Linked DNA regions of Oryctolagus cuniculus. The protein of the gene in region 1 binds, or shares a complex with, the protein of each later gene. Links are inferred from orthologs where the notes say so. Each region holds a gene or a part of one and is shown in the gene's direction. Other genes may lie near its edges.

Evidence for each region.
Region 2: the proteins of PAWR (region 1) and SPSB1 are in contact, whole or in part, in a crystal structure (PDB 2JK9), measured with the Homo sapiens proteins. The link is inferred for Oryctolagus cuniculus from reciprocal best matches to the Homo sapiens genes PAWR and SPSB1. Residues at the interface, in NP_001341661.1 of Homo sapiens: Glu68, Leu69, Asn70, Asn71, Asn72, Leu73, Pro74; in NP_079382.2 of Homo sapiens: Arg77, His78, Pro79, Val80, Ala81, Gln82, Gly110, Thr111, Tyr129, Val216, Trp217, Gly218.

Annotation. Positions count from the first base shown.
Region 1 is NC_091442.1:82,485,435-82,489,330, reverse strand, and holds the start of PAWR (PRKC apoptosis WT1 regulator protein), read left to right. Parts: upstream 1-1,405; 5' UTR 1,406-1,546; intron 1,547-1,863; exon of another isoform or gene 1,864-2,051; 5' UTR 2,052-2,209; coding exon 2,210-2,746; intron 2,747-3,896. UniProt on the Homo sapiens protein: Pro-apoptotic protein capable of selectively inducing apoptosis in cancer cells, sensitizing the cells to diverse apoptotic stimuli and causing regression of tumors in animal models.
Region 2 is NC_091438.1:158,700,542-158,704,437, reverse strand, and holds the start of SPSB1 (SPRY domain-containing SOCS box protein 1), read left to right. Parts: upstream 1-910; 5' UTR 911-1,077; intron 1,078-3,896. UniProt on the Homo sapiens protein: Substrate recognition component of a SCF-like ECS (Elongin BC-CUL2/5-SOCS-box protein) E3 ubiquitin-protein ligase complex which mediates the ubiquitination and subsequent proteasomal degradation of target proteins.

The DNA of each region.
Region 1 (3,896 bases):
ATCGTTTTCCCACTGTATCTTGTGGTCCCTCCAAGAGAAAATCCTCTGATAAATTACAAAGCATGTTAATGCGAGTATGTTTAATGCCCAATCTTCCAATCCTCCTCCCCCTTAAACTCAGAAATCAAAATAACGAATGCATAATTGAGAAATTTCAGGTGGCACACCCATGTTGGTATCACTTAGGCAAACGGCTACTTCACCTTTTAAACCTTTTCTCAAGACAGGCCTTTGTTTTCCCAAAGATTTTTCCAGATCTTTCTGCAGTTACGCATCTGCTTACCTCAAGAGATCAAAGACCAGAACTATGCGACTTTCCTTCTGCAAAATAGACAGTGTGTGAGTCACTTTCTTCTGTTCCCATTCCTGTGACAGGCTCACACTGCCTGCCCACCCACCATGTGCCACCTGTGCTAAACGGGAATGCTAAGCAGGAAGACAGCCTTCACGTTAGGTAAGAATGTGACTCAAGGCTGTCCTACAAAATGGAGACCTGGCATTTGTAACCTGCAACGCTCCCTCCTCTGCTGCTTGTCAGCGACAGCCCAGCCAAACGCCGACACAAATCACAGATGACTTTCAGCACGGGGCAAAAGTTACCCTACGGCCAGTTAAGGATGGACAAAGAGAATCAGCGGCCCAGCTCATCTCAAGTCAGCATTAACACAGCTTTAGCACTTTGGTAGGGAGTATTGCTGGCTGAACTCACTTTCTGGAAAGAGCAGATGTCGAGACAGGGGTCAGAGGAAAATTCCGAATAAGATAGGGATCGCCCACACAATAAATACTCGAAATAAGTTTTGCTTTTCTCCTGCAAGCCTAACACAATAGTACACTGATAATGCAGGGACAGTAAGCCCCGTGTACCCAGGATTTTTAGGAGTTGCTGGGTTTGCTTCCGTACCCGCCAGCCCAGAACATCTGAAAGTGGGCAGTGACGAGCAAAAGGGACGCATGGGGATTTTCCCCAAACTGTCCAGTCAGGCCCTGAGTCCTCCCAGGTCGATGGCACTTTCCTTCTCAGCCAAGCGGCCATTCAGGCTTTCCCTCGAATGATCTGGTCCTGTACCGAAAAGTGAGAGCGGCGGGAGATGGGAGCGGCGAGCAGGCGCAGGGAGGAGCCCGGCGTGGAGAGCCGTCCCCAGCCCGGAGTCGGAGGCGCCGGGAGGCCGGCCACCGCGAGCCGGCAGCTTCAGGAATGCGCCGTCGGACCCGCGGGCGGCCGCGGAGCGCGCAGGGATGAGGGCGCGCGGCGGGCGGGCCGCGGCGCCGCGCACCTGAGCGCCGGGGGCGTGGCGGCGGCGGGCCCTACCCCCGGCTCCACGGCGCGCCGCGCCCCCCGCGCTGCCTCGGCCCTTTCCGCCCGCGCTTCGGCGCCGCTCGGCTCCCCCCACCCCCCGCCTCTCCCTCCCTGCGAGCCTCGCACAGCCTTGGGACTGCGAGTGTGCCGGGACTCCCTGCACGCGTCCGGAGAGCGCTCGGCGCTTTCGGCTCACCTGGACACCCGCTCCCAGCCCCGCGCCACCTCGCCCGAAGCTCCTCCGAGGTAAGGAGCTGCCCCGGCCGCCCCAGCTCGGCTCGCGCACCCCATCCCCTCCTGGGGCTCGGCCGGACAGCTGGGTCCCCGCCCCCCTCCGCGAGCCGGCTCGGGGTGCGGTTCTTCGCACAGAGTTTGGGGGGCGTAGGTGGCGGGGATTCTGGACCTGCGGGGGCCGGGGCGAGGAGCCTGCGACCCGTCGGGCCGACAGGTGGCAGGGTCCGGCCGGGGTCGCCAGACCGCCGCAGACGCGGACTCTGTGGGGATGGAGCGGGGCGGGCCGGCCGGGGGTGGGGTCAGCTCCTCTCTCCTCCCCGCGAGGGGCGGTGATCGTCCCGCCCGCGGTCTAGGTGCGTCGGAGAAACTTTGCAGGGTGGGGACGCGGTAGCCACTGGCCGGCGGCACCGGTGGGCACGCTCTGGGGGGCTCCGCGCCGCGCGGTCGACTAGCAGACCCTCCGGCCAGGCCGGGACCTGACGCTGCCCCTCTCCGCCCCCTTTGTGTTTCTCCTCAGACTCGCGGGCTGCGGGAGGAGCCGCGGTCACCCCGCGCCCGGGGTGGGGGTCGTTCGCTCGCGTCCTCCTGGCCACGAGAAGGAAGGGGCGGCGGCGGCGGCGGCAGGAGCACGGGTGGACGGCCTGAGGTGCTAGCCCGACCGGCCCCTCTGGGAATATGGCGACCGGTGGCTACCGGGCCAGCGGCGGCCTCGGCGGCAGCACCACAGACTTCCTGGAGGAGTGGAAGGCGAAGCGCGAGAAGATGCGCGCCAAGCAGAACCCCCCGGGCCCGGCCGTCCCGGGCGGGGGCAGCAGCGACGCGGCCGGGAAGCCCCCAGTGGGGGCTCTGGCCACCTCGGCGGCCGCAGCGACCAACGAGCTCAACAACAACCTCCCGGGCGGCTCGGCCGCACCTGCCGCCCCCGGCCCGGGAGGCGTGAACTGCGCCGTCGGCTCCGCAGGACTGAGCCGGGCGGCCCCGGGCCCGCGGCGCGCGGAGGAGGAGTCCCCCGGCCCCTCCGCGGTTCCCGCCGCCGCCGCCGCCGCCGCGGGCGCTCCGCAGCCCCGGGGCGACGAGGAGGAGCCGGACGGCGCCCCGGACAAGGGCAAGAGCTCGGGCCCCAGTGCCAGGAAAGGCAAGGGGCAGATCGAGAAGAGGAAGCTGCGGGAGAAGCGGCGCTCCACCGGCGTGGTCAACATCCCGGCGGCGGAGGTGAGCCGGGCGGGGCCGCGGCCGGTCCTGGACGGGCCGCCGCCTCCGAGGTCTCCCTCCCGGGCCTCGGGGCCGGCGTGTTCCCGTGGCGACTCGTACTTCGTCTGCTTTCTCCCGAGTGAGGCAGCCAGAGGGTGATGGAGTTTTACTGGGAACCCAGCGCTTCCCGGGAAGTTCCCAAACCCAGAGTAGGACACGTGCTTTTCTGGCTTCCTGGCCAAGGTCTCAGACCCAGGGCCCCCCCTTTACTACCTGGACCTGTTTTTGCTCACCAGTTAGGAAAATTGATTCGTGATGATGACGACACCCTCTGGTTTCCCACGTGTCCTTCTCAACTTATCAGTTTATCTCTTCTGTCTAAACAGTGTTTACAAGCACCTGTAAAGGAAGTGTGGCCTTAGCATTAGCCAAGAGAGCTTTATTTTGCCCTGGACGCAAAGCCGAGTAGATCCAAATGAACCTACGTCCTATTTCATATTCTAACCAACTTTCTACTACGTAGCGTTCCCCAGTGTACGTCTTTTTTTTTTTTTTTTTTTTTTTTCCCCCCTGTGATGTTTAGGACTATAGAGATGCTGTTTGCCCAGACTGTCTCTTTTCTGGAAGGCATTTGTGGTAGGCTTTTTTGTTGTTGTGATTGTTGTTATGTTTTTGTTTGGGTAGTTCTGAGTGGTCTCACGACATTTTTGCAAGTAGCAGCATCTTTTCCTTAGGGTGATAAAAAATACCTGCTTAGTGACACTTCGCTCTGCCTGAAACAAAACTAAGCAATTCTAAGCAGGGTTTGGTTGCTTTAAAGAGTAGCTCACCGGTTTGGGGGAAGTGGTTCAACTACCTTGTTTGACCCAAAGTAAGCTGCATCTTTCTCTTGTTGGCTCCTGAGATTCCACGTTTTTTTCCCCTTTTACTCCCCCGACCTTTTAATTTTCTCAACTTTGCAATCCAGTAAATAACTATTATGAATTTACTAATCTCGTGGTTTAAGTAAAAGTATTTGCAGTCAGTTTGGCATATATCAAAAATATACAGATATTTAAGTATTAATATGATTTCCATGTCTGGAAAATTAGAGTGTCATTTCAGAGTGTATTTTTGTATGAGTGTTTCGAAAAGATTTTTATCAGCCAGCAGAACTGTCCTTTGTGGTTTG
Region 2 (3,896 bases), on another chromosome or scaffold:
TGCATGTTGACCCTGGGTCAAAACCACAGGGGGCTGTAGCCCAGTGGCGTGAGAAGACCTCCAGCTTTGGAATCCGGCCACGGCAGCCGGTTCCAGGCTCCGTCTCTGGCCCATCACCGTGTCCTCAGCCTCACAACAGCCGGCTGCCGGCACGGGGCTATGGTGAGGATTAACCAGGGAAACACCTGGCTCATCACCATCACCGCTGTTCCAGGAAGGCCAAGCTACACACCGTGAGGGGCGGGGGTGTAAGGAGATTTTGCTCTTAAAACAGTAATTTCTGTAAGACCTGCCCAGTCCCGTGCCTCTGGGCTGGAGCAGGACAGGACAGCTTCCTGTGGGTCCAGAGCCACAGTCCAGGCCAGGGGTGAGAAGTCCTCCGAGGCAGCACCATCATTCATTCATTCATTCATTCCACAAGCATTCAGGGAGCTGCCAGGCGCGCCTAGCGGTCTAGCACAGCGGGTGCCCAGGCGCCCGGGGGCCCTCGGGGTCTGGCGGTCCTGAGCCCCCAAACAGAGCAGCGGGAGGCTCCCCTGCGCCCCAAAACCGCAGAAACCCGCTGGGAATTTCAGACAAGGCAAGCGAGGTCTTGCACTTGAAACAACTTCCCATTCTCCCCGAAGACGTTTAAATTAGGAAGCCCTGCCCCCACCCCCGGGCCTGGCACGGCCGCGCCCCTCGCGTTATTGCAACCCAGGCCTCCCTCCGGCCTCCGGAGAGACAGACGCCGCGGGCGCACAGCGCCAAGGCCGTGGCCTCGCTCGCCCGGGCGGCCTCCGGGAGGGGGCGAGCGAGCGCTGGGCCCCGCGCGTCCGAGGCCGGGGGCGGGGTCGGGGCCTGGGCGGGCCGGGCCCGCCCACGGGAGCCTTTCCTTTTTTTTTTTTTTTTGCACTTTAAAGCCCGCGGCTGCTTTCTCTTCCCGCACAGTCCGCGCGCTCGCAGCAGCGGCCAGGCTCCTGCGCTGGCGCCGGGGCCGCGGGGAGGAGGCGGCTTCGCTCCCTGCGGCGGGCGCGGCCCGGGCGCCCGAGCTCCTCGGCCCGGGAGAGCGGCGGCGGCGCCGGACACCGAGCACCGGTGGGTGGAGGAGCGTGAAGGGCACCGGGGACCCGGGAGGGGCGGGACGCAGGGAGGCGGCGCCCGGGGCCCGGTGGGGGTCCGGGCTGGGGACCTGGCGGGGCGCGGAGGCCCCGGGCGCCCTTCGCTCGCCGCGCGTCCCGGAGCGGGGCCGGGCGCCGCCCAGCGCCGCTGCCCGCTGCGGCCGCCCGGGTCCCACCTGCGGGGCCGAGGCCGGGCGGGGACCGCCGGCCGGGGGTGGAGCCGCGGAGTCCGTGCGCCCGGGCGCCCCGGGGCCTCCGAGCCCGCGACCGTGCCCGCCGCCTCCCGCACGGGGGGCAGCGCGACCCCGCTCGGAGAAGTTGGTTTCGCTTTTCCCGCCAGTTCGGGCCCGAGTTTGCAGAGCGGCCCGACTGCCCCTCAGGGCGCCTCCGGCCGGCCCTCAGCGCCTCCCCTGGGGAGCCCTCCGGGCGGCGCCGTCCTCCCGCGCCCCGGAGCCGCTGTGGCCTCTCTCGGCCGCAGAGGGCGAGCCCGAGGTTGTGTCAGGAAATCGATTAAAACAGAAAAGCAAGGGGAGCCTGGCTCTGTCGGTGGAGCCTCGGGATGGGTCGCTCGTGCGGGGCTTGGTCCCTGTCCCGCTCAAGTTCAGGGCTCCGAACCAAGTGGACCGGGGCGGCCGGGGACTGCGGAAGTGGGTGTGAGAGAGAGAGTGCGTGCGGGAGAGTGTGAGTGTGTATGGGTGTGTGTATGTGGGAGAGTGTGAGTGGGGGGGAGGATCGTGAGAGTGTATGTGCGTGTGTGGGAGAGTGTATGTGTGTGTGGGGGTGGGGGGAGTATCGAGAGTGTGTGGGGAAGTGTGAGTGTGTGAGTGTATGTGTGTGAGTGTGTGGAGGGAATATCGTGAGGGTGTGTATAGGTGTGTGTATGTATGTGGGAGAGTGTGAGTGTATGTGTGAGAGTGTGGGGGGGAGTATCGTGAGAGTGGGTGTGTGTATATATGTGGGAGAGTGTGAGTGTGTGTGAGTGTGTATGGGTGTGTGTATGTGGGAGAGTGTGAGTGTGAGTGTGGGTGGGAGAGTGTGTGCATGTGGGGGGAGTATCATGAGTGTGTATGGGTGTGTGTGAGTGAATCTGAGTGTGTGGGAGTGTGAGTATGTGTATGTGAGAGTGGGGGGAGTATTGTGAGAGTGCATATGGGTGTGTGCGGGAGAGTGTGAGTGTGTATAGGTGTGTGTATGTATGTGGGAGAGTGTGTGTGTGAGTGTGTATGTGCATGAGTGTGTGTGTATGTGCGTGTGTGTGAGTGGGGGGAGTATCGTGAGAGTGTGTGGGGGAGTGTGTGTTTGTGTATGTGTGAGAATGTGTGGAGGGAGTATCGTGAGTGTGTGGGGGAGTGTGTATGTATGTGGGAGAGTGAGTGTATGTGTGAGAGTGTGAGTGGGAAGGGAGTATTGTGAGTGTGTGTGGAACAGTGTGAGTGAGTCTGGGGGAGTATCGTGAGAGTGTGTGTGGGAGTGGGAGTGTGCATGACTGTGAATGTGGGTGGGAGAGTGAGTGTGTACATGTGGGGGGAGTATCATGAGTGTGTATGGGCGTGTGTGAGTGAATCTGAGTGTGTGGGAGTGTGTGTATATGAGAGTGGGGGAGTATCGTGAGAGTGTGTATGGGTGTGTGTGAGTGTGTGTGTGGGAGAGTGAGAGTGAGTATGTGTGTGACTGTGAGTGTGTAAAAGTGAGTCTATGAGTGTGTGTTGTGTGAATATGAAAGTATGAGTGACCCTGTGTGTCTGAGTGTGTGTGTGTGTCTTGGTCAGAATGTGTGTAAGTGTGAGTGCATGTGTCTTGGGAGTGTGTGTATGTTGTGTGTATATGAGTGTGTGTGTCTTGATGGGAATGTGTGTGTGTGTGTATGTGAGGCTGTGAGTGTGTGTCTGGTGTGTGTATGTGAGGCTGTGAGTGTGTCTGGGGTGAGTGCGTGTGTGTTTGCCAGTGCCGTGGGGGAGTGTGTGCACGTGTGTGCTTTGAGTGTCGCTTAGCCTGCCTTTTCCTGGTTGTTCTGGAAAGTGGGGCGCCGGCACCCCGGGGCAGCAGGCTCTCTCCTCCCCTCTCTTTTTCTCTGAAAGTGAACCCTGCCGTTTGGGGGTGAGTTGGCAGGGTTGCTTCCTGCATGAGTAATATTTAATTAAACACTCCCGGGGCAGCATCAGACACTGGTCATAAGCTGAGTTTTAACAGGTGTTCATGGTAAAAGCACCATCCGGGTGAGTAAGGGTTGGTGGCCTAGGAAGAATTTTCTCTGGGGTAGGAGGGTCGCGGAGGGGGAGCCCCAGCCTCAGCCCTGGCGGTGGGCGCGGGAGGGGTTGGCAAGTGCTAGGTGGAGGCTAGCCCTGCGTGCTCATTCCCCACCCCACCTCCACCCCCACCCCCACCGCTGAGGAACCAGAGCTAAGGAAGCCCTGTCTTGCTTCCAAGGCTTTCCTAGAATGGCCCTTTTCCTGGAGCTCAGAGAGGGTGGCTCCCTTAGCCAAACTGCACAGCCGGGGCTGCGACCGAGACCCCCAAGTCCTGGCTGTGACTGCTGTCGCCGTCCCTGGCACTGAGATCACAGCTGGGCAGCTGCACAGATCGTCCGGGGCCCTCCTCACCTTCCTCCTCCTCCTGTCTCTGAACCCCCTTCCTTCTCCAGGGAGTACTTGCCTTGGTGGATGGAGTGTGTGCGTGTGTGTGTGTGTGTGTGTGTGTGTGTGAATTTTTGCAGATGGGGAGATGTGTAGTTACCGAGTGTAAGAACTTTACAAGTCTCCCTTTTCCTGCCCAGCCTGGCCACCATCCCAGGAGCAG